7 linked regions of the Solanum lycopersicum genome follow. The protein of the gene in region 1 binds, or shares a complex with, the protein of each later gene. Links are inferred from orthologs where the notes say so. Each region holds a gene or a part of one and is shown in the gene's direction. Other genes may lie near its edges. The genes, in order: 50S ribosomal protein L6, chloroplastic; large ribosomal subunit protein uL1c; 50S ribosomal protein L27; large ribosomal subunit protein bL28c; large ribosomal subunit protein uL15c; large ribosomal subunit protein bL9c; large ribosomal subunit protein bL21c.

Region 1 (4,013 bases):
TACTTCTAAAATTTAATATAGAATATCAAAATATGAATTTTCGGAACTAAATACAATAATTTTTTTTGATAATAAATATACATACAATATGTGTATATGTTCAATATAACCGGAGAAAATAAGTTAACATAAACATAAAAATAATGTTTAAAATATGTACTCAAAAACAACAATTAATAACATGAGTATAAATTAATGAGCGTAAAAAAACATACCAGGATATGTATAAATACCATTAAATATAAAGGAAAAAATCGAGTCAATTGAATGCACAATGTCCCATTAAAAAATCTATTCCCCTCCAATATAAGAGGTTTTAAAGAACTACATCCTCTCAGGATGAAATGATTCTATTCACCAACTTATTGATAAAATAATGGGGGTGTTAATAAGTCACTCAAAATGAGCAAAGTACAAAAATATTTAATTTTACGGATGTAGAAGAGTATCAGAATTTTTGTTGTTTTAAAATGAGAGGAAATTTTTGTATTTATAGACAATAAAGGTTAGCGTGAACAAATTCTTATTGTGCCTTATCGGAAAGGTTACAACTATTTGAAATAGTTGCAACCCTTCGGAAAGGTCACCACTTTTCATTAAAGTTGCAACTTTTCATAAAAGTCACACTTTTGATAAAAGTAACAACTCTTCATTAAAATCAAAACTTTTGATAAAAGTCACAACTTTTCATTAAAGTCACAATTTTTCTAAAAAGTTACAACTGTTTTAATAAAATTCGCAATTCTTCGTTAAAGTCGCAACTGTAATTTTCATAAAAGTCACATGTTTTCAAGCAAGATGAAGGCTAATTTTGGAAATAATTAAATTTAAAAGGCAATTCTTTCTTGTGGTGCTGCCATGTAGGCGGGCAGAGATTCTCTTTTATATAAATATATGATATTCTTTTCTTGTGAACACGAATACTAATTTGACTCTTATTTTGAGACTCTATGATTAATTTACGTAATACGAAATAGATAAAAATCTACATCCCGATCTAACATACATCTTATGACTTCATTTAGATTCAGTAACTTTAACTCGAATCATATGTGTATCAAAGAATTTACCGATATCAAGAGGGGGCAAAAGAGAAACTTTGTAACATAGAGGGGGAAATTGTTATTTAGTTGAAATAGGATAAGGGGTGAAATTGTCAATACTCTTTAATGTGCAAGGCAAAAAGGGCTCTATCCACTATACAAGATAGTTCAGCTCTTAAGAGACTCAGTCTTGTAGCTTGCAGGCAAAATTCAAAAATGAGTAGCTCTTCACTCACAGCTTCTTTACATGCCAGGTAAATTTAGCTTCTTGAATCTGTTGTTAACACTATGAAGCTTGTTGCTTTTTACATTTTCATGTCGATTCTAGAATTAATGAAATTGGGTATTTGCACATTTGTTGTTTCATTGTCAATTTTATGCAATTTTGTGTCTTTTTAGCTTCTGGGGTTTCCTTATTATACGATAAAAATTATAGCTTTTGTGTGTTGTGGGTAAGGAACTTAATTGTTCTGCTCCCTTTTTCATACTGGGTGCATTTAGCTTGTTGATTTTTACACTTTCATGTTGATTCTTAAATTGTTGAAATTGGGTATTGTGCATTTGTAATTTCTTGCTCAATTTATGCAATTTTGTGTCTTTTAGCTTCTGGGGTCTCCTCATTATACAATAAAGTTTGTAGCTTTTGTGTATTGAGGGTAAGGAACTTAATTGTTCTGCTCCCCTTCACATATTAGGTGCATATAGCTTGTTGATTTTTACACTTTCATGTTGATTCTTGAATTGTTGAAATTGGTATTGTGCATTTATAGTTTCTTGCTCAATTATGCAATTTTGTGTCTTTGAGCTTGTGGGTTTCCTTATTATACAATAAAGTTTGTAGCTTTTGTGTGTTCTGGGTAAGAACTTAATTATTCTGCTACCCTTCTCACTCACTGTTTCTATACATATTAGGTGCATTTAGCTTGTTGAGTTTTACTTTTTCATTTTGATTCTTGAATTGTTGAAATTGGGTATTTTGCACATTTGTAGTTTATTGGTCAGTTTGTGTCAAATTTATGCAATTTTGTGTCTTTCAGATTCTGGGGTATCCTTATTTGAAGAATAAAGCTTTAGCCAGTATAGAGGGTGTCGGGGCTTAGCATGTTTTCTTGTAAAAATAAAAACTTTGATCTTGTTTTATCTATTTAAGGTCTCCATTTGTTGAGAGGTTTGAATGGGATTCATATCTTGAGTGTGGCTGTTATTGGTGTTGGCTTTCTTGTAAAACATATCTGTTATTCTTGTTTTATTTCATGTCAGCACTTTGCGGTCTCCTTTTGTTGGGAGTTTGAATGGGTTTCATGTATCGAGTGTTGCTGTTCGCCGTGTTGGTTTTGTGAGTAAGACGGTCGAATGTAAAGAATCAAGAATCGGGAAGCAACCAATATCAGTACCTTCAAATGTGACACTCACAATGGAAGGCCAAGATTTGAAAGTTAAGGGACCTCTGGGGGAGATGGCCATAACTTATCCACGAGAAGTAAAGCTTGAGAAGGAAGATGGAGGTATTCTAAGGGTCAGAAAAGCCATGGAGACAAGACGCGCTAATCAGATGCATGGTTTATTCAGGTAGTCTGCAGTTTAATTGTGCTGTTTTCTCGACTTCTTTTCTCGGTTTTATTCTTAGATATGGTAAACATTCTAAGTTATAATTTACCTATTACTACTACGTATGATCAAGAAGCTATAATCTACTTACTGGAGTAATTACTTTGAAATTCACGACTGGTTTTGATGTGGACTAGTGATGACTTAGTTCTTCTGACATAAAATTTAAGATTTAAAGGGTCTAATTGATCTTCTCCAATTATATGATATCATATTTTATAACCAAATTGAGATGTTTCCCAGTCCTAGTCCTAATTGATTTTATCCTAGTTGTTAATGAAGAGGAAAGGATAATTTTTTCCTCTTAATAAGGTAAAGAAGGGCAGTCATTTCTTACCACCTTGAAGTTTTCTGTTCTTTTTAGTACTTCTAAGTTTCAAAAATAGTGAACCTCTTTGTGGTTCTAAACTTTACTTATTTGATCTTAACTATTGATATATATTACTTGCTGTAGCCTCTTGCCAATGGTTACCTAATAAATTGATATAATCGAATGCTTCTTTTGCTATGAGGGGACTCGAAAATATGGAAGAAAACGTGGACATTAGTCACTGTAAGTAGCAAAAGAAGTATGTTGCTCGGGAATCACCAAAAATGTTATTGCATTTGTGTTGGATCCTCAAAAGTTCACTACTTTTGGAGGGTCTGACCTGCACTCGGCAGCATTTTGAAGAGTCCGAGCAACATAAAAGCAGTACATAGTTCTCAGTCTTGACATGTTAAAGAAACGATCTTTTGTCCGAGCAACATAAAAGCAGTACATAGTTCTCAGTCTTGACATGTTAAAGAAATGATCTTTCTCACTATGAGAAGATTGACTGGCAACAAAGTTCAAATGTAGCAGATCCTTAGTTCCATGACAGAATTAATGATTCTAAGGTCATGAGAAGTGATAAATTAGGCAGAAGAGGGAATATAGACGTAAGAACAGCTAGGACTTCTAGCAAAGGACATATATCAGTGCTAGTCGTAGTGTTTCTAGGCTAAAAGGTATCACAATTAGGGGGTGGTGAGAAAGATCTATAATATCTGGATGCTAATAAGCCATTTGCAAGTCTCAAAAGCCACAAGTGCATATACTACACTTTGGTCAAGGGGAAAATGGAAAAAAATGGATACGGTTAAAGTTTTCAATGTAAACAACAGATTTGAAGAGGAAAACCCCAACTTTAAAAGAAGGAAGAGAAAGTAGAAATAATTAAAAAATCTATGTTTTTGAGTTTAGACACGCACTTCAATTGGTTCTTTCATATTAAAACTCCTTATACTCTCCAACGGCTAGTTAACGACTACTTTAACTTAGGGAAGATCATAACTAATCAGATAAAAACAAGGGAAACTTCCTTTTGAGACATACTCACA
Region 2 (3,951 bases), on another chromosome or scaffold:
GGGAGAATGTATCATATAGTACAATAATTTAACTTATTATATATACTTGAATACATAAAACTATTAAGTTTGTTTGTGTGTCTTTACAAATCAACACATTAGAGTGATGAAATTCAGTTTAAACTGAAATTTCAGTAGAGAAAACTTCTATGAATACTCAAATAACGTGTGTTGTTTAATATGTATTAACAAATCCTTATAACAATAACTTTGCAGAAACATATACAACAAAGTATAAAACAAACACACTAGGATATGTAATATAATGAAAGAGAAAATAAAAAAATTGAGTCCATGAAATGCACAATGTACCCTTAAGAAAATTATTCTCCTCTACCACCCGAGGTTTAAAATACTAAATCCTCACGATAGAACGTTTAGCAGTGTGTTTATACAAAAATAATATTTAATTATGCAGAAGAAAGACGTTCAAAATCTTTGTTGTTTTAAAACAAAATGAAATCTCTCTATTCATAGAAAACAAAGGATAGTGTGAACAAAATATTTATAGAACGTTTAGCAGTGTGTTTATACAAAAATAATATTTAATTATGCAGAAGAAAGACGTTCAAAATCTTTGTTGTTTTAAAACAAAATGAAATCTCTCTATTCATAGAAAACAAAGGATAGTGTGAACAAAATATTTATTGTGCCAAATGGGAAATAACACAACTCTTTGAAAAAGTTACAATTCTTTTGAAAGAGCACAACCTTTCATAAAAGTTGTAACTTTTTGTAAAAATCACAGCTCTTCTTCATATAAGTCATTTAAATGAAAATTCTTACTTGTGATGACGCTACCTAGGTTGACATATGATTCTCTTATATATATATATATATATATATATATACATACTTAATCATTATTAAGTAATAAATATAATTGCTTTAATTATTAACTTTTAAGATTAATCATATATAAAAACATGCTATCGTATATGTTTTCAATGAAACATCCGATAAAATTGAAACAATTTTTTTTTTTTTCAGACTCTCCCAAGGAAACTTGCATCAATAAAGGGAGGGGTTATATGTTTAAAAATCAAAAGCTAGTAGGTAAAATCATATATTCTGTAACTTCTGTGGGTCAAAATGATAAATCTAATAACATACTTTTGATATACACTCTCTTATCTCGTTATCAACATACGCCAAATGGATAGGCATTATATATGATTTTGTTTATTCACCACAACAATCCCTTCGGTCTCATTCAACAATGGCTTCCACAGCAACGCCTTCTACTCTCACTCTTTCCTCTATTTTCTCACAAGAACTCAACCCCAATTCCCTAATTTTCAAATCAAAGCCTCTTCTTTTCACATCCCACAAATCTTTTTCTCTGCACCCATTAAGCCTCCAGTACAAAGAAAGGAAGAATGGACCTCTTGTTGTTGCTGCTATGGCAGCTGAAGCTGAGGTTGAAGACGCCGTGGAACAGGAAGGTGAAGAAGGGGCTGTTGCTGTTTTAATTCCTCCGTCTAAGCCTAAGAAAGGCAAGGCTGCATTGCCCTTGAAGAGGGATAGAGTATGTTGAAGAACCCATCTTTTTATTGTTGATTTGGTGGATTTTTAGATATGAAAGATGGGTTTTTTTTCGTTGTGTGATATGTGGGGTTTGCTTAATTTTTGTGTTTTGAGATGATATTAGAATGGAAATAGATTTCTTGCCCCTAAAGTGGATATAGCATGTGGAAAATCTCCAAATTTTTTTGGGTTAATTTATGGATGTTAGATGAAAGATGAGTTTTTGCTGGTTTTGTATGATAGGTTGAAACAACTATGCCTTTTTTTTTTCTTGAGCTACGGGAAACAACCTCTTTACTTCTCTCTACCCTGGCCAGAGCCCACTTTGAAGGACTACACTGTGTATGTTGGTGTTGTTGATGATGATTCTTGTGGCGATATTACCATGGACATAAGTCATAACTTTTTTGCCCCTAAAGAGGATATTTATGTTGAAACTCTTCATTTCTAATTAATTTTGTGAATGTCAGATGAAAAATGGGTCTTTGTTTGTTTGTATGATATGTGGCTTTTGCTTAAGTTCTGTTTCATTGATCTTTGTGGTGAGATTACTATCAATATGACCTGTTTTGGAATTTCTTGGTTCATTTTTTATGGGTGAACTTGTCTGAATTTGTTTGGTCGTGTAAAATTTGGTCTGTACTGATTTACCTACCAAAGGTCTGTTTTGTGTGATGATGAGATAATTCAGTAGTTCATTATGATAGTAGGTGATTTCTAACAGCTCTAAGTCTTTTTGGACTGAGTGGGAAGTAGCAGGTCGTTGGTGGATTAATCCTGTTGCATGAGCTTTCTGGGACACCATCCTTATTAACAAATTTATAATTATACCGGGAATTATGAAATGGAATTTAATATTACGTTAATTACAATTTCTAAGCAATGGAAATGAAATTATATTAAGCTAAGATTGTATCTGTATTGTGGTTGGCGAGTCACGTCAAAATTACCTAGTCTCACATTGTGTCATTTCAAAGGAAGCTAGTTTGTATATGCTTGCAGTTATTGGCAAGTTATGAAGCAAGTATTTACATAGCCTGTACTTTCCTGTTTGTATTGGGGGGAACAAGCTTTTTTTTTCCCTGTTTAATGTAGACTACCTTCCTCCTGCCCGAACATGTGAGGATTCAGAATCTTAAGTTACTTGGTGTAATACTAATAAAATGTGGAGTCCTTTTAAAAGTGGAATCACGGTGGCAAAGATCAATCAGGAATGGTGAACAATCAATTTTAATGCAGCAAAGTTAGACCTTGTGTAGTGGGATTGAATTAGATCATTCGAACTCTCTCATGTGATCCTTGTCCTCATAATAAGACATCTGAGGAAATATGCTGTCCGGAGATTAAACATTTCACATAATTCTGCATGTGGTTGTTCCTTTCACCAGAAAAGGATGTCACTGTACAGGTGCATAATTTTGCACTTTGGAGATGCTAGTTGTGGAAGATCATCTCTATTGATTTTCAAACTGCGTTTCTGATATGCTTTTCCTGTTGCTGATACATCAAGCATCAAACTTCTCTGTTTCTTTCTCTATCTCATTTACCCGTTGCTCCATCAATTTTCTCATAAATTGGTTACTTCTTTTTCCATAATAATTAGACGCGGTCTAAGAGGTTCTTGGAGATTCAGAAGTTAAGAGAAATCAAGAAAGAGTATGACTTGAAAACGGCTATAGAACTCCTCAAGCAAACAGCTAGCTTAAAGTTTGTCGAAACCGCTGAAGCTCATTTCCGGCTCAATATTGACCCAAAATACAACGATCAGCAGCTTAGGGCAACTGTAAGTTTTCAAATATTTCATTAATCATCATTACATACTTCAAAGTCTATATCGAGTGTTTACTGGTATATTAATATCTTGAATTGTGGTGACTTATCTATTTCAGGTTAACTTGCCCAAGGGAACAGGTCAAACTGTTAAAGTGGCTGTCCTTACCCAAGGTACTCCTTAAAAATATTTTGTGTGAATCGATCGTGATTGTATGCCAAATAATCAAGGGAAGTAGATTCCTTGATAATTGGTCTGTTAAGGTCGTTATCGAACTCCTTTCATTGCTTCTAGAAAATAGTCATTTTTATTTTGTATTGATAAATTAAAATGTCATTTAACATAAGTGTAGATGTGATACAAGTAACTGGGCGTAATAATGTGGAAATGGTCTGCAAACTAGAATATCATATATGGTTGTCATCCCAAATCAGCCTTGGTTAATTAGATTGTCTAGTGAACTTGCAGCTTTCACCCTACTTTTTTTAACGCACCCCAAAGAAAAAGGAGTAACTTTCAGAATTGTTTTTTTTTTCTTAAAAAAAAAGATCAGACATATGAATCTTCCTTTTTAGTGTGATTGTTAGTCTAGTTTTTGTAACCCTAGATTGAATGCAATATGCTAGGATCTTTTTTATATTTGGGATGTGGTC
Region 3 (4,166 bases), on another chromosome or scaffold:
TATTTTAATTTTCCATCACAATCTTTATCGGTATTTTACTATTACATGTTAAAACCATTGATGTATTTGCACATATAGATTATATAGCATGATGTTGGATTTAATTATTTTATTGTATTAATTTTATATATTGAAATTTAGATATATTTAAAATGTTCACCTAATATTATTTTTTAACCAATAAATATATTTATTCTTTGAAAGAATTAGGTTCATGGCATTTATATTCTCCACTTGTTCTTGTCCTATAAAAGTAAATAAATTAAACAATCTATTTTACTTTAAATATTCTTCTTTTAAATCCTTTAATTTACCAACACAACTTTTGACTCGAGCAATCAATTCCACTAACTAGTTCAAGAAGCATAATATGAGCAATTTTCAAGAATAATGTGGCATTATTGTAGGTCGGCGTGTTAAATAATCGGGTTGAATTAAAATTTAAAATATTAAAATGAGTTCAAATAAAATTTAAGTCGAATCATAACCTCTTCAAATTATGTTAGGCTCAAATAGGATAAACATTGGATTGGATCATGACCTGTGCGATTTGACATGTTTAATCTCAATAATTTAAACATATTGTTATTTTCCTTTAATAACTATTATTTGAATTTTAATTCAATAAAAACAGTTATAAAATTGATATATAAATCATAAAAAATATAAAATAGATTCTAATTTATGCATTCAATATGAGAACATAAATTACACCAATACAAAAAATACTCTTAAAACATGTTGAAATTAGAGATTACATTGGACACAATTAAAAATTATTTTAAAATGGGCTAAAACGTAAATAAGTTGAGATTGATCCAATTCAAAATATCTAGAGCTCCCGCCTATAAAATTTTAAATGAGTTAGACGAGTTATATATATTTAGGCTCATTTTGACATTCTTAACCGTACTTGTATGGAGGTATGCAAAAAAAAATTATTCTTATACTTTTTATCGAAAAATCATATTATATATGCCCGTAAGTAGGAGTATGAAATTTTCTCGATAAAAATTAAATTAAAAATTTTTAAATATGATTTCATTTTTTGAAAATACTTTTCGCAGAATATCAATTTGAGATTAAAAAACGTTTTCAAAAATATAAAAACAATCACTTGGATTTTAGTTTCGAAGAAAAGATATCTGAAAAAACATTTTATTTTACTAATTAAAATCATATTATTCCCCTTTACAAGTTCGATAAAAATATTTACAACTTCAATATTTATAAGCAAAATTAATTTATGTCCATAACTTATGTTCGATAAACGAAACCATTAAACTTAACCCGAAAACAAGCTAAAAAAAGCCCAATTCAAAACGGGTCAAGTATATTATAAAAAGGATGGCTGACATTTCTCTTATCTTTTTATCTCGAAGATTTTGCCATTGTGGCTCCATAATCCCCTCGGTGAGTTCATCTCTTTTCCCCTCTTCTGTAAATTCAATGTTTTTTTCTTGTACTATGTTTAATTGGGTGTTCGAAAATGTATTTAATTTTAGCTGACTCGCAAATCTTGGTTTACTATTCTCTCCATTTCAATTTGTTTGTGTGGTTCGACTTTGGCAAATAATATAAGAAAGTAAAGATTTTTTTTTAATCAAGTGGGGTTGAAGTAAAACTAATGTTATGTCGAATGTATCAAAATGTTGTTTAATGTGAAAAGTTAGAATTGAAGAGTTGCTATTGGAAATTGAAATGGAGGGGGTTAGTATTTATGCTTCACTAGGATTTGAACTTGAGACGTTATGGTTATCAATCTACTTTATTGACCGCTACTAATATTTTAGGTGGACTGCAATCTTGATGAACATACTAGTGTTTATTTTGTTGTTGATACTGGTTTCCTTTGATTCCTCTTTGTTTTGTGGTTTAAAGACTTGTCCTTTATGATTAAATATGGTTCTTTTATGACCAATTGCTTGCGTAAGGACTTATTTGCGGAATATTTTGTGGTGTAGAGTTTGCGAAATGCGTTTGTGGTGGAGGGGGGTTGATGTTTGGTGTAATTTTGAAAAGAAAAACAATGAGTGGAAGTAATGTGTATTGAAATGCAAGAGATATATAATGGAGTAAAGATAGTTGTAATGAGGACTTAAGGTACTTCTATTGTTAGGAGTGTGTGTTTTGTATTTTTTTTGAAGATTGATAATAAGCTCAGCAAATTGGTTTTATATTTTGATAAAGCTGAGTATTAAGAAATGACAATATTATCTAAACAGTGGTTGGAGCGAGCGATAAGGAGAAAGAGCTGAAATCGTAGTAAAAGGAAATGACTTATCTCATAAGTGAGAGTAGTTATTTCCCCCTTTTGATGGAAAACTTTTTTTCTTAGGAAATATGTTTAGGACCATTTTTATCACTCTTCTACTGTTTTAGTCATACCGAGCAGTGTTAAAGTCAGAGTCAAACCTTCTGTAGACTTACTATCAAAAATATATTTCTCCAATTTGTGTTCGCGATGATCCGGGGAAATTTTAGATTGGCGATTAAGATCCTTGGTAGTTGTTATGGTAATAGTTTTGTCCTCTTAGTAGTTCTATGCTCATATTTTTCCCATTGTTAAATATCACTTCCTTTCCTTTAGGCCTCTCATCTCTGATAGTAAGTACCACGAGAGGCTACTGAATTTCTTTGTTTTCTTTGCAGCGTATAAATGGCAGTGAGTTTGAGTCTTGTTTCCTCATTCAAAGGACTCTCCTTATCTTCCAATTCTCTCCTTGGGGTTTCTCTTCCCATTGCCCCTAAGTTCTCCGTTTCCTTCCCGTTGAAATCTCCATTGACAATTGAGTCTGCACACAAGAAAGGAGCTGGTAGCACTAAGAATGGTCGAGATTCTCCTGGACAGAGGCTTGGTGTCAAGATTTATGGTGACCAAGTCGCCAAGCCCGGTTCTATAATCGTTCGCCAGCGCGGTACAAAGGTTTCAATTTTACTTCTTCTGGATCTCCTCTCTCTTTTTTATTTTTGCCTAAAACTCGTATTTGCTGTGGAAGTTCTGATAGTTCTTTTGATTAATTAATAGTGCTTGAAATGAATTCGGATGAACCCACCCAAGTAGAGTGTAATTCCAGTTTTTTTGCTCAATACCTCACAAACATACTAGGTCCTGGCATCTTGTCAATAACTCTGCTCCATTCGTCTGGCTTTCTTCGTTTGGTTTGTATATTATTTGTTAGAAATATGTGGATTGTCTAGAGGGCGTTAGATTGAGTACAAAACAAGGTACTAGAGGGATACATATCTTGTCATTTGAAGTAACAGATTGCTATAAGGTTTAAGGTTTTGAGCTCGTGTCGTGAAGACATAGTTGGAAGTTCTCTTTAAGAAATGCACATTTGTTATAATCCGACTTGAGTTTTTTTTCTTTGCCGAAAGTGTCAGTTTCTGACAGTATGATGCTATGAGTAGATGTCGTCTTCTATCAGTTAGATAGTAAAAGGGTTTATGCCAGAGGTTGGTATTAGTTTTACTTTTTTTCGGCTCTGATATGATCCTGTTATCGTCTGTTTGTTTGCTCTAAGAGTAGTTCAAAAGTTGCATTCTCCGTTTAGCATTGCCATATATTCTGTTCCCTAATCGTTCTCGTGGTGATATTTCCAGTTCCACCCAGGAAAGAATGTTGGACTTGGCAAAGATCACACAATATTTTCTTTGATTGATGGACTAGTCAAATTTGAAAAGTTTGGACCTGACAGGAAAAAGGTTGAGTTCTTTAGCTTACTGCTTGTAGATATGTGGTACACGAGTGTTATTAACGTATACTGACTGTGCAGATAAGTGTTTATCCACGCGAGGTGCAACCTGAAAACCCCAACAGCTATAGAAACCGAAAGAGAGAGTCCTTCAGATTACAACGTGAACGTAGAAAGGCACGAAGAGAAGGTGTCATCCCTGAGCCTCAGTTGATAGTTGCTTCTGCTGCTGAATCCTCTGAAGATAATCCCATCACCACTTGCTGATAATGGTCTTTCGATTTTTCAAACATTCTGTTGTCGTTTTGGTTATTGCTAGTAGCTACTTGGGAACACATTTGCAGGCACATTTTCTAAACTGTGTTTCTGCCATTGTTGTCTTTTTTTGTTTGTAAATTGTGTTACTGAAAGCATGAGTCTTTGTCACAGTTTGTATGAGTACAGAATGAAATGTATGATTCAGAAGAT
Region 4 (4,170 bases), on another chromosome or scaffold:
GACGATGCTTTGGCTGGTGGCAGTCATTCGGATGATAGACCTTCTGAGGAGCTAATAAAAGACGACAGCTCTGACCCTCTACCAGATGACAGTAGTGTCTCTGCTCAAGAGACAATCTTCCAAGAAAATCTCGAGGTTACCCGTACTGGTATGGTTTCAGAAAGGAAAGATGAAAATGCTAATCCCAGTCCACTGGAGCATCTTGAGATAAACAATGACTCACCAGTTAAGGAAGCAATTAAGTCAGAGGAAGACAATGGAAATGTAGACGATAGACCTTCTGAACCAGAATTCTCATCGAAAGAAGAGTTGGATGCTCCAGAGGAACTTGAGAAAAAGGAAGAAATCCCTATTACTGAAGTGTTTGATCCGGGCTGTGTACTTGTGGAGTTTAGAAGAGCAGAAGCTGCATGCACGGCTGCTCATTGTCTACATGGACGACTGTTTGACGACCGAATAGTGACTGTGGAGTATGTTCCCCTTGATCTCTATCAGACAAAGTTTGCTAAACAAAACTAATTTCTTTTGGCCCATTCAAAACCTTATGCAGATCTCCCCAAACTTGAACGACGTTAACATAGGATTTCACAATGCTTAACTGAATGTTTGTTTGCAATTTTTACCATTATTGAGATGCCTTGGTGTTAACCCTTTTGTTAGTGCGAGAGTCGTACCCGATTTGAAGCGGAATACATGTTTTCTCCCAGATGTAGAATGGGATGAAGGAATGAGCCATTGTATTATGTCATCTAAAAATTATGAACTTTGTTTTTAAGTTGCAACAGTTTACCTACTACTTACAATATACAGGAGCACAATCTTATGGCTTCTTGAAATCTTTTATTTACCTTCTTATTATTTTGCCTTAATGTCTTGTGCTTGTAGTTCTAAATGATGTTGGTCACTGACTCAGTTGGACAGTTGATGGGATAACAGATTTTAGGGGTTGTTTGGTTAGAGAGATAAGGACATTCATAACATAGTGTGATTGATTTGAAGATAGTAGAGACGTTCAATATTATAATGATTTGATTTTGGTCTATTTGTTTGGTTTATCATAAGTGGAACCTGAAGAGGGAGAAAACGCTTAATATTATAATGATTTGATTTTGGTATAGGCTTAATAATGATTTGATTTTGGTATAGGCTTAATACTCTCTTTGTTTGGTTTGTGATATTAGACTTCCACGTGAGTAAGTAATGGAAATAAGATTAAAGCATAAACTAAGATAACACAAGTAATGCAAATAAAATTAAAGCATAACTATGATAACATATTACTTCCAAATAAGTTAGATTTTGTTATTTATTTATTCTTTTATTTAAATCGTTTGATATTATTAGACTAAAGGAAAAAATAAGTTAAATATATAATAACAATAAAAAAAAATATGAAGGCCAACAAATAAAATCATTACCCACATCCATTTCGTTATCCACTCTTCACTTCCTTCTTCAAAAAAAAAAGCAACATTCTTGAGACAAAAAAGATTCTTGCTTTGAGGAATTGGTTGCAAAAATGGCGACAATCACAGCGGGTATAAGCCTCAGAGGACCAGTAGTGGGTGGTTACAGGACATTTGCAGTGACCAAAAGGGCTTTACCCAAGGTGAAATTCAGCTCAGAGTTGAGTTTTGTGACTTCTCAATTGAGTGGCATCAAGATTTCAAGCACCCATTTGAGCTCTCCTGCTTCACTTTCTGTTCCTTTCAAGACAGCCCTTCAACCTGTTGCTCGTAATTTCTCTACCCTTTTGTTGTGTTCTCTGTGTTTTTAGTTGTTGGGGTTGTTTCTTTTTTGGTCTAGTAATATGCACATGAACTGTTTGTTGTTTTGTTTGTTTCAGTGAATTGTTGGGTTTTAACAATATTGTGAATTGTGTGTAAGAAATTGTGCTTGTGGGGAGGCAGTAGGTAACCTTAGAATTAGTCGAGGTGTGCGCATACTGGCCATACACCACAATTGTCAAAAGGAAATTGTATCTGATAATTTGAAGTTTAGTTAAGTACTTGTTACTTAGGGTAATGGTTGTTGAAGTATGTGCAAACTGACCCCGACATTACCATTATTTAAAATAAAAAAAGAGTCTTGGTGCAATTGCAAGGTTGCTCCTTTGCTGACCTGAAGGTTACGAGTTCGAGGGGCGGAAATATTAACTTTGTAGACCTATTGATGGTAGAGGTGACATTTCAGCTTTCTGAATTTCAATTAATTGGATCACATGCAAAGGGATACTGTATGGTATACACCTTCGGTCCCTCTACCCATGAAGTAGGGATAGTAAGTTCTTCTTGAACATTGATGGGGAAAAAGGAAAGATGATAACTTTCAAATGTTAATACGATGAATCATCATTTTGGTGCAGGTAGCCTTTTTATTTGTGTGTGTGTGGAGTGGCCGTACTCAAAGGGTCACAGGACCGAAATCATCATGAGTGTTACTCAGATAATTGCTCATTCCATACCTGAGACCCCATTTAGTAGTCGGGTGTCTAGAATTCAGATATGTGCTTTGTGTTGATAGCACATTACGTTAGATTGTTTAGTACCAAGTGAAAGTTAGTATTGCTGATATGGGATGAAAATTATCCCTTACAATGTGGAGGATCTGAAGACATAGCCAAAGTTGGAAAAAGTTTGATTCAGTTGCAATTTGCAAACTAAATATATTGTTTTCTTGAAATCTGTGGTATGGTAAGCTGAGCACTTGACATTAATCACATATTATTAAGTTACATATGATAATCAATGATTAAAAACCATATTATAGTTTACTATCTAAACAACTTCTTATATAACTTCAAGAGGAGAGATTAAAGGGGTGTCATCATTCCAGGGGTTTAAAAGTCTGTCTACAGTCGCAAGAAATAGGGATAGGACAACCTCACCATGTGCAAAATTAACAAACTGGGAAGAGCTTGATGGACTACAGCATATTGATTAAAGGGAGCTGCCGCGTTAACTGCATTAATAACAACAAGATCAATAAAATACGGTATATAGTTTGGAAGTTTGTCCATAGTTGTCTTCATATACTGAATGATCCCTAATTTTTCCTCCTTGGCTCTTTGTTCTCTGACTTAAGGATTGCCGATATTTAAGGCATAACAGATTGTCCAAGTGAAGAATTATAAATTATTTCATGATAAATTTCTTATATAGATGGTATCAACAGTTTTTTGGTTAACAAAGTTTGCATTCCTTTGCTGCAATTCATAGACAAAGCTGCAAAAGAAATACTATATGCATGAGAAGATATTATAATTCTTGTCGAGGCCTTTTAGGTCTCATTAAAAACTGACTGCAGCCTAAAGGGAGCTTCATTTTCTTGCTTTCACCTCTCTTGATAATGAGCAGGATTTCCATCTGCCTATTCTTCTCTCCATGAAACTTGCAGCCTAATAGTGAAATAAAAGCTTTATGAGATTCAAAGCTTATGAAAGTAGATTTCTCGCTATCAAGAATATGTAAATCCATTTACCTCTCAAATTCACCTTCTGCATTTTTTAATATTTATTTACCCACCTGTGTCCTTATTACAAGTGACCAAACTAGTTAAAAAGAAGACGAAACCAATAATGAGAGGCTGAGAGAGTGTGTTAGCTGCAGATTTGGAAGGAAAAATCTACAGAACTTGAATCTTCGGTGTGTTCGCCCCTCTGGTGTACATTATATTTTGAATATGATGATAACAGCTTGGTTTAATTCGTTCTCATTGTATGACAACAAATTGTAAAGGGTTGACTTACCTTTTGTGAAATCCAGTAATGGCAGAGTATTTGGCTTTTAGATCACTGATGAAGCTTTAGTTTACTAATCAGAAAGCACATTATGAGAGTCATTAGGAGCACTATATCACTGACACTCTTGCTTGCTTTGACTCCCTTTCTAAGTTGCTGCATTTGTCAAACTGCATCCTGAATTCCTTTGTTTTTTTAGTCCAAAACTACTTAAAGCCTTTGAGCTAATAGGTAAAATAAAACAAATTAGGGACAAGAGTAATCAAATATTCCCAGTGAAGCATCCTTTGCCTTACATCATCATGATCTTTCCTTTCCCCCCCTGCTTTCCTGCATTTTTGTCGGTTGTGCTCGAATATCTTGGCGCCTCTTTATGATAAGTAGCGTATAGAATATTAAGAGAATACATTCTGTTTTTTCAGGTAGAGTAT
Region 5 (3,961 bases), on another chromosome or scaffold:
CACTCGTTGAAAATGGTGATTTACAAATACAAATATATCTGGATACATAAGTAATTTATCCAATTTACAAGATTGATTAGGCAATACAAGTACAATTGGATACATTAATACTATATTTTTATAAATACCTAAGTTAACACCAAGCTTCATGTATTACAGGATCACTTACCAAAAAGAGATTGGCAATTGTTATTTATCAATTTTTTATACAGGCGAATTCTTATATACTTTGATACCGACACATTCTATTATTTTCTATTTTTTTGTTTCTACGTTGTCCAATTTATCCATCTTTGATTTAGTAACACAATGTATTCATATGTATACTATATTGCATTCATTTTTTGAACAACAATAATGTATTCATTTTTCAAATAGCCGTGTTCATATGCTAATTGTCATACTTTAACTTGTTTGATATATATATTGATACATTAAATTCTTACAAAAACTTGTATCATTGATATATATATATATATATATATATATATATATATATATATACACTTTACGTTTTATAAATATAGATACTAATTTGAATTCAAAGTATTCATATACTAACTGTACACAATTAATACATTTTCCTTATTTAGTTTGTTGTAATTAAACTTGTATTACTGTATAAATAGAAAAATAATAATATTTAAAGAATTAATACAGCTAGAAAAAGATATAAATTGTATTCATTTTTTATAAATAACATACTTGTAGCTATTGAACTTTGATAAATCCTATAAATGTAGTCATTTTTATAATTTGCTGATTAATGAATGTATACAGAAATTTGGGCGGAGTAAGACAGGATTAAGGAGATTCTTTTAAATTTTCTTAAGCAGAACATTATAAGAGTAATCCTCATCGGAGTATAGCATGACGAAAGAGGAAGAAAAGAAAGATTACTATCTAAAAAAGAAGTTGACGAATTACTAATAACCCTCGTATAGAATTTATCAATGACTAAGTAATCAAACATGTTAGTAATTAATATGACTTGTAGCGAGCGTTTAGATCTCTCTTTCTTAATCATATGTTTCAAATTCAATCCCATAAATGAAAAAAATCAGTTAGGAAAGTCCCCTCTAAAAATGTGCCCAGTCGTGTGTGAATTCAAATTTTATTTAAGCCTATTACTAATATCAAACATCATGTTGGAAGCAAAAAAGACCACGATCCTCAAAATGAAGTGTAATACACACATATCGAATTAAATATCGAACACCTGATAATAGACTCGTAAACTAATTTAAAAAGTAGAAAAGAAAGTCCCTGAAATAACCACCCCTATCCGTTAAAATTTGTCAAAACACTTTTTGCTTGGACAGTGAACACAATCCTGAGTTCTCCCTTATCAACAATGGCGTCTCTACTCTCCATCTCCTCTGCATCACCTACAAGAACAAATTCAATCATTACCCAGTTTTCTTCATCATTCAAGGTACAATTTCTCCTCTTTAATTTTTCAATTTCTGTCAAAATTATACAATTCTCATTTATCCCCATCAATTTTTTTCAGGGTAATGTAAGTAATTTGAAGTCAAGTTCGAAGCTTTTGCCTTTAATAAAGGTCTGCAATTTGAAATCTAAGTCAATAACAAGAACCCCATTTGTTGTTTTCAACCAAACTGCAAGTTTTGGTGCTGATTCTGCAACTGGGAGTGTTCGTTTTCGGCTTAATAACTTGGGTCCTCAACCTGGGGCTACCAAGAATAGGAAGAGGAAAGGTAGAGGGCATTCAGCTGGACAAGGGGGTAGTTGTGGTTTTGGTATGAGAGGTCAAAAATCAAGGTCTGGACCTGGAGTTAGAAAGGGGTTTGAAGGGGGTCAAATGCCTCTCTATAGGAGACTTCCTAAGTTGAGAGGAATTGCTGGAGGTAATTTGTTAACATTGCTTCAACATAATTATATTATCACAGGGGTCGTTTGGTACAAGGGATAAGAGATAATAATCTCGGGATAAAATGTTGGATTGCCTTTGGTTAGGGGTATTAGTTAGTCCCTGAATATCTATCTTGTCATTTTTATAAGATAATGATAGGATAAGTTATCTCATATATATATGGCGGGATAACTAATTCCTCGGGATATACTAATCAATGGGATAACTTTGTCTATCTCATCCCTAGTACCAAATGACCCCTTAGTTTGAGTTGGATTTTGTTTTTCCTTGTTTTGTTGTTTGTTTCTGTGTCCATCTGCAGTGTTATAGTTTACCATTTAAAAGTCTATGGATAAGTGTTATAAAATTTATAGCTTTAACTTGACTATGTGTTCTTTTTTATATTTGTGTTCGGGGCACCTTGCATGCAGTAGTGTTGTCAAAGCTGTGCATAAGCGAGGTTCAAAATGTGTTGAGCGCTTTGTCTTGCTTAATGTGCTCTTCAGGGTCGTCATCAAGTTTCTTAGGCATTCTTTTGAGTCTCTTTAGGCAACACTAAACAATTGATATTTCACTTAATAGTAAAAAAAATAATTTCTTTGTTCATATATTTGTCATTCATGCTTACAATTATTATTCTTAGACTAAACAAACATATGTATTTGTATTTCTCCCTTTGCTCCTTTTTATATTAAAGATCATGCTTTATTCACGTTTTATGCTTAGTCCCAATGGTCCTCAGAGTTTTTTTGATTTGATAACACTGTCATGTACTTAATTCCACGGGTACCTGCTTCTTCCTGCCAACACTTGTGTTGGATATTCCTTTGCTACTTCATTCCTCAACTAATGGAATACAAACTCTTTTTTCTGCCCTGCCTGGTGTCATCCATCTCCAAATAGTAAATGCGCTGCTGAGCGGATAACTCTATCCAGAAAGGCTTGGATAAATGAATATTGAACAGGAGACATTATGGTTCTCAACCAACTCCATTAACAACTACGCCACTCACTTGGGTGCACTGTGTGTATCTTTGTTTACAAGCATGTTTGTTTTTCTTTTGGTTGTGTCATTGCAGAGGCAGATTTTCATAGGATGATAAAAAGTCTTATCTGCATCTGGTGGACATATGTGTATGCATACTCAAACTGTACTGATGATTAATCTAAAGAAATTTATTACAAATGATCAATATATTGCACTAAGAAATAAAGCTATGCATAGTTATATGACATCAAGGCAAATATCTTGAAATTCTTATTTTCTTATTTGCAATATTCTGAAATCCTCAACATTTTTATCTTCCTCTATAATCCGAAGACTGTTACCCCCTTATTTAAACTAAAAGGAAAGCCTTGATCGATATGAGAGAAATGTGCTCAAGCATCCAACCAGGTGTAACGTCTGTCAAGAAGTTTCTTACTGCAAAATGAACATTCTAGGAGCTCTCACTCGAACAAATGCTCCTTATGCCATCATAAACCGAATCAGCGGATATAAAATCTGTCCTTTCCTAACCTTCCCCTAGCAGGAAACTTATTTTAAAAGGAGGAGGATTTGGAAAGTTCATACTAAGGAGGTAAAAAGGCCCTCGAGTCAAAGGGCTATTCTTCCTTTGATTTGAAGAGAATGTCAGTGCCTTGACTCTCTAGTCTCAGTGTGGCTCTTGAGTAGTCTTCACTTTCCCTTATGCATGGCGTTTGATTAAGTATTTTCTTCAATGTCAAGTTGTTGGTATTACTAAGATGATTCATAACTGTCCTTTATTTTTGGCGTAACTTGTATCCATTCGCATTATATAATGCTGAACCTTGATACTCACACCTAGAGTTGTGTGTCAAAAAATAAGTTCTTACTTTTCTTAGGCCTTTCATACTGATTAGGCCTTGCCATGTCTAATTTTTATAACTTTGACTATTTTAGGCTATTCTAACTTAATAACTGAAGTAATTGATAGTGCTCTTTGTAAAACCTCCAATCTCGTCTTTTAATTTGTTTCATTATGTGTTTTGTTGATTTAGTTAAGGATTTCCCTCAAGTCAGGCTAATCTGTCAAAAGCAATTATCTACTACATGTTTACCAC
Region 6 (4,084 bases), on another chromosome or scaffold:
AAGCAAATATACAAAATTTGTTATAGCATATAAATATGAATTTTTTATTTGCCATATGTGAAAGTTGCCCTTATTTATATGTGTAAATACAAAACAATAATGTATGAGAGACAGAAAGAGTACGCTTTTACAAGTATGACTTTGATGAAAAAAATATGGCTAAGTGAATGTAAAATACTCTCCCTCCGGATTTAGATGACAAACTTTTTTTTAGTCAATTCTAAAAGAACGATACATTTCTTTATTTGATAAATAGTTAATGACACTGTCAATATTTTGTAGATGACTGGATCCCACTTATTCGACAAAACGTCTACAAAGTTGTGTTCTTTCTAAGGATAGTTTTGAGATATACAAAGTATTTTCATATTTTTTAAACTTCGTGTCCAATGTCCACTACTTAGTCAAGCAACACCACATGAATTGAGACGGATGGAGTATTATGTTGGGCTGTTTTTTTTGGATAAATTTTAGAAATCACATAATTTTAATATGAAATTATAATTCATCCCTCTTTAGTTTGTAATTTCATTAATCCCTTAAAAAGTAACACAAATCGGATACATTTATATGTAACTCGAATACATTAAAGAGTATCTTAGATGCATTATAGCATAAATCGGATGCATAATATGTAGTTCAGATACATTAAAAACTAGATCGGGTACATTATAAAATAAATCGCATACATAATATGTAACTCGGATACATTAAATACTAGCTCGGATACATTAATATGTAGCTCGGATACATTAAAGAAATAATGGATTTTAGAGGTCTTTAGAAATAAAAGGGGATATATGAAAATAAGGAAAATATAAGACGTGTATTTCAGTAAGGGTAAATGATAGAAATCTCACTTTTAAGTTCTCTTACTATTATTATCCCCTATTAGTTTTACAAATCTCCAAAATCCCTCATTTTCACACATCAAATTAACGTATCAGCACATCAAATTAATGTATCTCGCACATCAAATTAATATATATCACGCATCAGATTAATGTATATCGCGCATCAGATTAATGTATCTTGTATAAAGTGTACATCAGATTAGTGTATTATGTATAAATGTAATGTATCGTACTTAATGATTAATGTATCTCACACATCAGATTAATGTATCAAATGATACAATAATATATTATTGTATCATTTGAGAAATTTTTGTAATTATATACTTGTAAAAAACAAATGGTAATTTTGCCTTAAAAGTATGTGATTTCTGTCCTTCGCCCAAATAGCCTAAAATATTATAATTGGACTAAGAAATGGGCTTTACATGAATTGTCCCAATAAGTTTTGTTGGCCCATTAAGACATCCATTATCTTCTTCAGTTCGCCATTACAGATAAGATAACGCTATAAACTGTAAAAAATACAGAAAAACGGAGCAAAAAGTGAAGAAAAGAAGAAGGAAGACTTAGCTATGGCGTCATGGGGTTCATCTTCTTGTCTCCAAAATTACAGCTTAACCAAAAACCCATTTTCCGAAACAGTGAAATTTTCAGAAAGAACTTCAATTTTAACAATTGTTGCTCAGAAAAAAGCCAAGAAAGTTCGAAAGGTGAGCTAATTCTTGAAAATGTGATAATGGGTTGGATTTATAATTGTCAAAATCTCATTTTTTGTCCATTTATGGTTAATAGCTGAATTGGGTATTTTTTGTTTTGATGGAACAGATAATACTGAAAGAGGATATTTCACAGTTGGGTAAAAAGGGAGACCTTTTGGATGTTAAAGCTGGATTCTTTAGGAATTATTTGCTACCATTGGGCAAAGCTCAAATTGTGACAGCTGCACTTATCAAGTAACTCGTTTAACTCTACTTTGAACTAGATTTTTGCCATTTGATTTCATTGCCTTTTAGGTTCTTCTTTCATTAGCTGTACTTTTGTGGAGTTCGCGGTTGTTTGGTAGCTTGGTAGAGTTACGCAGGTATCAGTTATTTCGTCTTGTAACCTGCATAAGATAATACATTATATATTAGTTAGGTAGGTTTTTGAATTACAAATTAAACTTTGTGTTGATTTTATACATGAATAACTTATTCTCTAACTAACTGCCAAACATTGTATTACTTATACATTAAGTTAATATATGAGTAAGTTGCTTTTTTACTAGCTACAAAACACCCCCTTAATGTTTGTTAAAATTGGTTCTGCTTGTGTTGGATGGATTTTTAAGTATTCCTTTTGGAGACTGTTAGTTGATTTTAAGTGTTGAATATTCACATTTCCAATCACCCTGTATAGTTTAACGGCATAATCCACAGTGTGTCATGGACACCTGATGTTGATGTGGCAAATATATTTGGTTGGTGCCTAGATGATCATTTTGTAAGTTGGAGTGTTCAACTGACACAGTGGAGATGAGTTGAGGTGTAGATGTGCATACTCAAAGTTGGAGTGTTTTCTTGCTAGTTGATGCCGAGTTTGAGTGTTTTCTTGCTAGTTGATGCCGAGTTCAAGTGTCTGTTTCTGCATTATGACTAGTTAAATTATCGACTTAACCTTATTATTGAACTCAAGACTTTGGTTCTTCTGTTCGTTATCTTATTTTCATGCCTCATAATTAATGTCAGGATTCTTTGGTTCAACTATTTAAAATGCCACACACAATACTTTGCTTGGCTGTTGATGAGTGGAAGTATGTTATTACTATTGCTTGTTTTGTTTTATCTTTTATCTAAACCAATGGACCTATGTCGAATGGAGATAAAATAGGTATACTTAGTCTATGGGATCCTTTAAACTAATTGTAACTAGCTGAAAAGTGGACGGACCCATGGATTATACATATCTTCGTGCAAAGGTCGTACCAGAATAATCATTTTCGATACTCCTTGAGCAGAAACTCTGTATGGCTTTGGTGTTATAACTCTTGGTCAGTACACAAACTCTGTATGGCTTTTGTTCCCTGAAATAGTGCTTCGTATGATTAATGATTATAGGTTTAAGTAAATTCGCTTCTTTTAACCAAATATAATTTATTGATAACGGATTCGTCTTCAATACAATGTCCCACAATGCATAAGATGGATAATGGTTGGATATAAAACTTTAGATTTCCTACTACTTAGTGACTTTGTCTTTAGCTTTTGGGTGAGCAATAGGCCTAACCAGCTGTTAACATTAATGGTGTGATAGTCCTGTAAAAGTCTTATATATAAGGGATTTGCTATTTCATACTAAAGAACAAAACAAATAGGTGAAGGCTTCGTTAGAGATGGTTGTTAGAAGCAATTTTGGTTTGATATTTTTGATAGCTATTAGCGTGCTTCGCCATCAGTGAGAATTAACTAACTTCATGGATGCATTTTTATTTTATAACATTATGTACTTTTTACTCAGGGAAATGAAGATGGAAGACGAGAAAATTGAGGCTGAAAAACAACGGGTAATTAGATTATTCTGATTAATCTAATCTATTGAAAGTTGAAAAATATATACATTTTTTTTTTATTTTCAAGTCACTAAAAGTCTAAAAGAGTTTCATAATGAATGTGGTTTTAGTTAAACGTTTTTGATTTCAGGTGAAAGATGAGGCACAACAGCTTGCTCGAATTTTTGAAACTATTGGAGCCTTCAAGGTGAAGCGTAAGGGTGGGAAAGGAAAGCAAATATTTGGAAGGTCAGTGAAATACTAAATTGTGATGAGCAACTTGGTGAATATTTGATCTACCTTTTGACGTCATCTCTCTTGCAGTGTCACTGCTCAGGATCTCGTTGATATTATAAAAGCACAGATACAGAGGTACCATTTTCCAATCTTTCTGCCATAGCATGTAAATAGTAGTATGCGAACTAATTACTACTATATGTTCATTGAAGACTGTTAAAGTATATTGTCCTTCATAAGGTTGATCCTGTAATATGAATTTGCATGAACTTGAAAACTGATGTTCTCTGATTCATCTGGTTTATTAAGTAATTCAAATATTTTTCATGCAGTGCTTATTTTCTTGTGTGATTCCTTCTGTGCGATGTTACTTACTCGTTAACATCAGTCATCGAGAACAGTGGAGTATACTGATTCCATTTTCCGTCTATTGCTAGAGCAAAAACTGTTTTTTTGAAGCAAT
Region 7 (4,257 bases), on another chromosome or scaffold:
ACCTGACCTCATCAACCAGCCCTCCGCATGGGCATCACATTTCTGAGTTAAGTCAAGCTAATATATTCTTCTGTTTGGCAGGATGGACGTATAGATTACGGCGAATTTGCAACAATGATGAAGAAGGGAAATACAGGATTTGCTGCTAGAACAATGAGAGGCAATTTGAATTTTAACTTGGCTGATGCACTTGGAGCAAGTGACAGTGAGAAAAAAGAATAGAAGGTTTCTACTTCTATAATATATCAAAAAATGCATATTATTAGGAAATGTATTATACCAACATTATATTTAGATTGTTTGGTATCTAACTCTCTAATTCTAGCATGATTGTTTACCAGACCAAGCTGATAGAATACGTTGGACCAACCAATAACCAGAGGAGTTCAAGGAGGCTTTCAACCGGACGAGAGGGGTCAAGTAGAGCTGTGTTTGCCAAGACAATGTTGGGCTATTACCAGCATATATTGGTGCTCTATTATTTTGTGATGGTAGATAGATTTAGTGCTATAGTAGCAAAATTTCAGTTGTTGCTACTCTCAGCAACAGCATGCCCAGTATCTTTCCACGAGCGAGATCTGGAGAGGGTGGGATGTAAACAAACGTTACTCCTACTTTTGCTACTTTATCTTATATAATTTGAGGGTTTTTCCTCTAGTTCATAAATTCTAAAATATTACAGTTGTTTGTACCTGAGAAGTGTTGTAAAAACCTTCTTTATGTCTATATTAATTTGATGTTACTGGAAATTGAGTACCTTTTAAGATCATTTTGTCATATATTAAACACTAAAATAAATTTCAGTCTTCTTTTATTTGTGTAATTTTTTTGATTTATTTTTTTTTCCTTCCAATTTTGCGGGCTTGATTTTTAACATAACAAATGGCATTACTTTTGTTCTTATTTTACTCTTCTTACCACGTATTTGTAATCTTACTTCTACGTTTTAAAGATAGAATAATTATTTTTTAAGAGCCTCAAATTAAATAAAACATATCAAAAATAGTACTAGCACTATGAAAATTAAATATAATGTATATGTAATTGCAAAAAGTAGATGGGAGGCTTTACATAACTAACCTCGAGTCAAAATTAAACAATGATGGCTTCAAGAGTAAATGACCTATTATATAATTTAGAATATTTGTTAATCTCTCCATTTCAAAAAGGATGGTCTAGCTTGCCTTGAAACAGAATTTAAGAAGAAAAAAAAATTTTTTAATCTTGTGATTCTAAATTAAAGTTATGTCAAATGTACCAAAATATCCTTTAATCTTGTGGTCTTAAACATGTCACGTGGAAAGTTCAAGTTAAAATATTATGAAAAAAGGAAATGAGTTTTTTGTTTTGAAACAGACTAAAAAAGGAAATAGAGACGTTCTTTTTGAAACGAAGGGAGTATTATGTTACGAGAATATGTAAATTTATACTATTTCTAATACAATTATTTTTAAAAAAATAAATAAAGGATTTCGGGGTAAAATAGTCATTTGGCTACCACTGCAGATAGGATAGGCTTCAACAGATAAAATTGAGAGAGAGACAGAGAATACCCAAAAAAAACCTCTCACTCTCTAACAATGGCAACCCTTTCCCTGTGTTCTACATCTTCCCCCTCAACAGCACTTTCCAAGAACCAAACTTTTCTTAACACCCTTTCTGTTCCCAAAGCAAATTCCAATGTTACTTTTCTATCTCACTCATTTTCCTCTCTCAATCTCCGTTTCTCCAAGCCCAATTCTTTATCCTCTTTTGTACCCAAATACTCAGAATCTGAAGCTCCAGTAGCTGAAGTTGAAGCTGACCAAGAAGAGCCTGTTGTGGAAGCCACTAGCTTGGAACCAAAACGGGAAGAAATCTTTGCTGTTGTTATGGTGACGACTCACTTCCATTCATGTTTAAATTTGTGTAGACATATCTGTTTGTTTTCAATTTCGAAATCAATGTGAGGGTACAATTTAGATTTTTATTGAAAAAATTATGAGGTCCCAAATGAAAATTTGAAAATTCAGCGGAAAATGTTTCAGTTGTCTGTTACCTTGAATTTTTTTCTCGAAGGAAATAGGAAATTGATCTATTCCCTCTAAGGGAATGTTACTTTGTTGTATAGAGATCACAACTTTGGTTCAAGATTGTCATGTGCTCAACCTTTGATATCACAAAAGCAGTCGGAATTTTAATAAGGGGAATTCAAAATTACTCAGACCTATTATTGAAGCAATTTCTCGAATTAACCTTTGCCACTAGAACGAAAACTTCCTTTATGTCAAACGGATTAGAAGTTCCAAAAATTTGTTTTCATGAAGAATGTTCCACCACACCTCACTCACTTAGTTCATATTTCGTGTTTGCTAGTACTGTTGATACATTACTGCTTCCTATGGTGTATGTGGTGAAAATAGGGAGTGTTACAATGAAATTCTTTCGTTCTGTTATTTATACGTCAATGCCATTCTGTGATGCTTAGGTTTAGCATTCTGTTTTAGGGTGTCTTAAAGGAACAATACACATGTCTATATGTTTGTGTCATATTGACTTGGCAGTGGTGGTGGCTATTGGAAATGTTAAAATAGTCCGTGCTAAATAAGCTGAACTGAACTTTTTATATGCTTAGTATTCTCCAGTAGAGTTGGCTGATGTTAACAGAAAACTATAATTATTATGAAGACATGACGAAGATTTAGTACTTGGTATATCCTTACCTGTGTTCTGGACACCATCCAATTTCAAAAATCTCAGTCTATGTTCTCTTTGGTTTTAGTTTAATTTCGTTTTACAAGTGGGCCATCTATTTTCGGTAGGCGTTTCCTCTAGTTAAGTTGCAAAGGGGTTCATATGGCAGATTAGAAGTAATATAACTAATAAATAACTGATAACTATCATTTAGTTCTAACTTTAGGTGTTATACAGTTGTCAGAGGGAATACATATCTACAAGTCCATGCAAACATTTAAGCAAAAGTCTAGTAATTGTTGAAATTTGATTTTGAGGTTGCCATATTCTACACTTTCATCTTTTATTTAATGTGAATTGTGAACTATTGTATTTAACCGGAGAAAACATTCATGTTTACTACTTATTTGATGAATATTTTTTCTTTTCCATGTGGAAAATACTCACTCTTGCGAGGAGATTATAGCTGCTATTTCAATCTGATCATTATTCCTGCTGCTAACAATTTTCAAGTCCTCTAGGTGTCAAATTTTGTGCTTTATTTTGTTCTTTTTTCTTTTTTTCAGATGAATGTGACACTACCCTAATATAACTCTATGGGGCTTGTCTTTAATACGTTAAGCTGTTTGTTCATTTTTGCTCTTTCGCTTTCATAGGTTGGATCTCGGCAATATATTGTTTTTCCTGGGCGGTATATCTACACCCAGAGGCTTAAAGGTGCAAATGTCAATGACAAAGTGAGCATTTTTGGTCTTAATTTACAATTGATTTCCCAAAATCTGGTTACCTCTCTGTGGCTTTGGCTTTAGTTACGTGAGTTGTTTTTCTTTTTCCTTGTCTCGCTATCTCATATCAACATTGTGGTGTCCAATCAAAAAGAACTTGCTTGCAGCAATTTCTCAATTATGTCAAAAGGCATCAATTTCAACCAATAGTGACATTTGCTTGTCCTATTTCTATTATCTTTAATACATTGTCTTCACCAGTTATTTTCCACGGAAGCTAACACTTGATATAAGGGTTATATGTGTATGTCAAGGTTTTCTTGCCATATTGGCAATACTCTTATTTCAAAATTTCCACAATGAGGATCATTGTTGAAGCATCTATACTTGTTGCTTCTGCAGATTATCCTAAACAAGGTGTTACTTGTGGGAACAAAAACAAGTACTTGGGTTGGAAAACCAGTGGTGCCAAATGCAACAGTCCACGCTGTTGTTGAAGAGCAGGTCAGACATCATTCTTCCTCTGCTGTAGTTTCCACTGAGTATATCTTGTTTACTTGACATATCTGTTGGCTCATTATTACATTTCCATGCAGTTGAAAGATAAGAAGGTTATCGTCTTCAAGTATAAGAAGAAAAAGAACTACAGAAGGAATATTGGTCACAGACAGGTATCAAAGAACTGTTTTTAGTGATATCTGAATAACTATAAAGTAGTTTGAACTTTTTTAACCTATCTGTTTGCCCTTAAAGCAAGGCGCACCGTAGTCTATCATAGTTTTAACTATGTCTGCAAATAATTACCATGCAAACATGAAAACTGTCTAAATCAGTGAGCTTACAGCCATGTATGAGACAT

The links.
Region 2: 50S ribosomal protein L6, chloroplastic (region 1) and large ribosomal subunit protein uL1c share a complex: the UniProt entries of both Arabidopsis thaliana proteins name them as parts of the 50S ribosomal subunit. The link is inferred for Solanum lycopersicum from reciprocal best matches to the Arabidopsis thaliana genes emb2394 and EMB3126.
Region 3: 50S ribosomal protein L6, chloroplastic (region 1) and 50S ribosomal protein L27 share a complex: the UniProt entries of both Arabidopsis thaliana proteins name them as parts of the 50S ribosomal subunit. The link is inferred for Solanum lycopersicum from reciprocal best matches to the Arabidopsis thaliana genes emb2394 and RPL27.
Region 4: 50S ribosomal protein L6, chloroplastic (region 1) and large ribosomal subunit protein bL28c share a complex: the UniProt entries of both Arabidopsis thaliana proteins name them as parts of the 50S ribosomal subunit. The link is inferred for Solanum lycopersicum from reciprocal best matches to the Arabidopsis thaliana genes emb2394 and PRPL28.
Region 5: 50S ribosomal protein L6, chloroplastic (region 1) and large ribosomal subunit protein uL15c share a complex: the UniProt entries of both Arabidopsis thaliana proteins name them as parts of the 50S ribosomal subunit. The link is inferred for Solanum lycopersicum from reciprocal best matches to the Arabidopsis thaliana genes emb2394 and RPL15.
Region 6: 50S ribosomal protein L6, chloroplastic (region 1) and large ribosomal subunit protein bL9c share a complex: the UniProt entries of both Arabidopsis thaliana proteins name them as parts of the 50S ribosomal subunit. The link is inferred for Solanum lycopersicum from reciprocal best matches to the Arabidopsis thaliana genes emb2394 and RPL9.
Region 7: 50S ribosomal protein L6, chloroplastic (region 1) and large ribosomal subunit protein bL21c share a complex: the UniProt entries of both Arabidopsis thaliana proteins name them as parts of the 50S ribosomal subunit. The link is inferred for Solanum lycopersicum from reciprocal best matches to the Arabidopsis thaliana genes emb2394 and RPL21C.

Annotation. Positions count from the first base shown.
Region 1 is NC_090811.1:69,209,303-69,213,315, forward strand, and holds the start of 50S ribosomal protein L6, chloroplastic, read left to right. Parts: upstream 1-1,213; 5' UTR 1,214-1,259; coding exon 1,260-1,297; intron 1,298-2,303; coding exon 2,304-2,612; intron 2,613-4,013. UniProt on the Arabidopsis thaliana protein: This protein binds directly to 23S ribosomal RNA and is located at the aminoacyl-tRNA binding site of the peptidyltransferase center.
Region 2 is NC_090800.1:78,432,222-78,436,172, forward strand, and holds the start of large ribosomal subunit protein uL1c, read left to right. Parts: upstream 1-1,151; 5' UTR 1,152-1,219; coding exon 1,220-1,528; intron 1,529-3,130; coding exon 3,131-3,310; intron 3,311-3,416; coding exon 3,417-3,471; intron 3,472-3,951. UniProt on the Arabidopsis thaliana protein: This protein binds directly to 23S ribosomal RNA.
Region 3 is NC_090810.1:58,850,415-58,854,580, reverse strand, and holds the start of 50S ribosomal protein L27, read left to right. Parts: upstream 1-1,366; 5' UTR 1,367-1,413; intron 1,414-2,652; 5' UTR 2,653-2,659; coding exon 2,660-2,926; intron 2,927-3,606; coding exon 3,607-3,708; intron 3,709-3,779; coding exon 3,780-3,965; 3' UTR 3,966-4,166.
Region 4 is NC_090808.1:67,409,465-67,413,634, reverse strand, and holds the start of large ribosomal subunit protein bL28c, read left to right. Parts: upstream 1-1,370; 5' UTR 1,371-1,519; coding exon 1,520-1,736; intron 1,737-4,161; coding exon 4,162-4,170. Other genes in the region: uncharacterized protein, read left to right, coding at 1-519.
Region 5 is NC_090804.1:3,795,317-3,799,277, reverse strand, and holds the start of large ribosomal subunit protein uL15c, read left to right. Parts: upstream 1-1,161; 5' UTR 1,162-1,354; coding exon 1,355-1,435; intron 1,436-1,513; coding exon 1,514-1,871; intron 1,872-3,961.
Region 6 is NC_090810.1:57,591,530-57,595,613, reverse strand, and holds the start of large ribosomal subunit protein bL9c, read left to right. Parts: upstream 1-1,284; 5' UTR 1,285-1,429; coding exon 1,430-1,567; intron 1,568-1,682; coding exon 1,683-1,810; intron 1,811-3,353; coding exon 3,354-3,399; intron 3,400-3,535; coding exon 3,536-3,633; intron 3,634-3,708; coding exon 3,709-3,756; intron 3,757-4,084. UniProt on the Arabidopsis thaliana protein: Binds to the 23S rRNA.
Region 7 is NC_090805.1:43,261,434-43,265,690, forward strand, and holds the start of large ribosomal subunit protein bL21c, read left to right. Parts: upstream 1-1,457; 5' UTR 1,458-1,580; coding exon 1,581-1,874; intron 1,875-3,329; coding exon 3,330-3,410; intron 3,411-3,800; coding exon 3,801-3,902; intron 3,903-3,994; coding exon 3,995-4,069; intron 4,070-4,257. Other genes in the region: calcium-dependent protein kinase 11, read left to right, coding at 82-222. UniProt on the Arabidopsis thaliana protein: This protein binds to 23S ribosomal RNA in the presence of protein L20.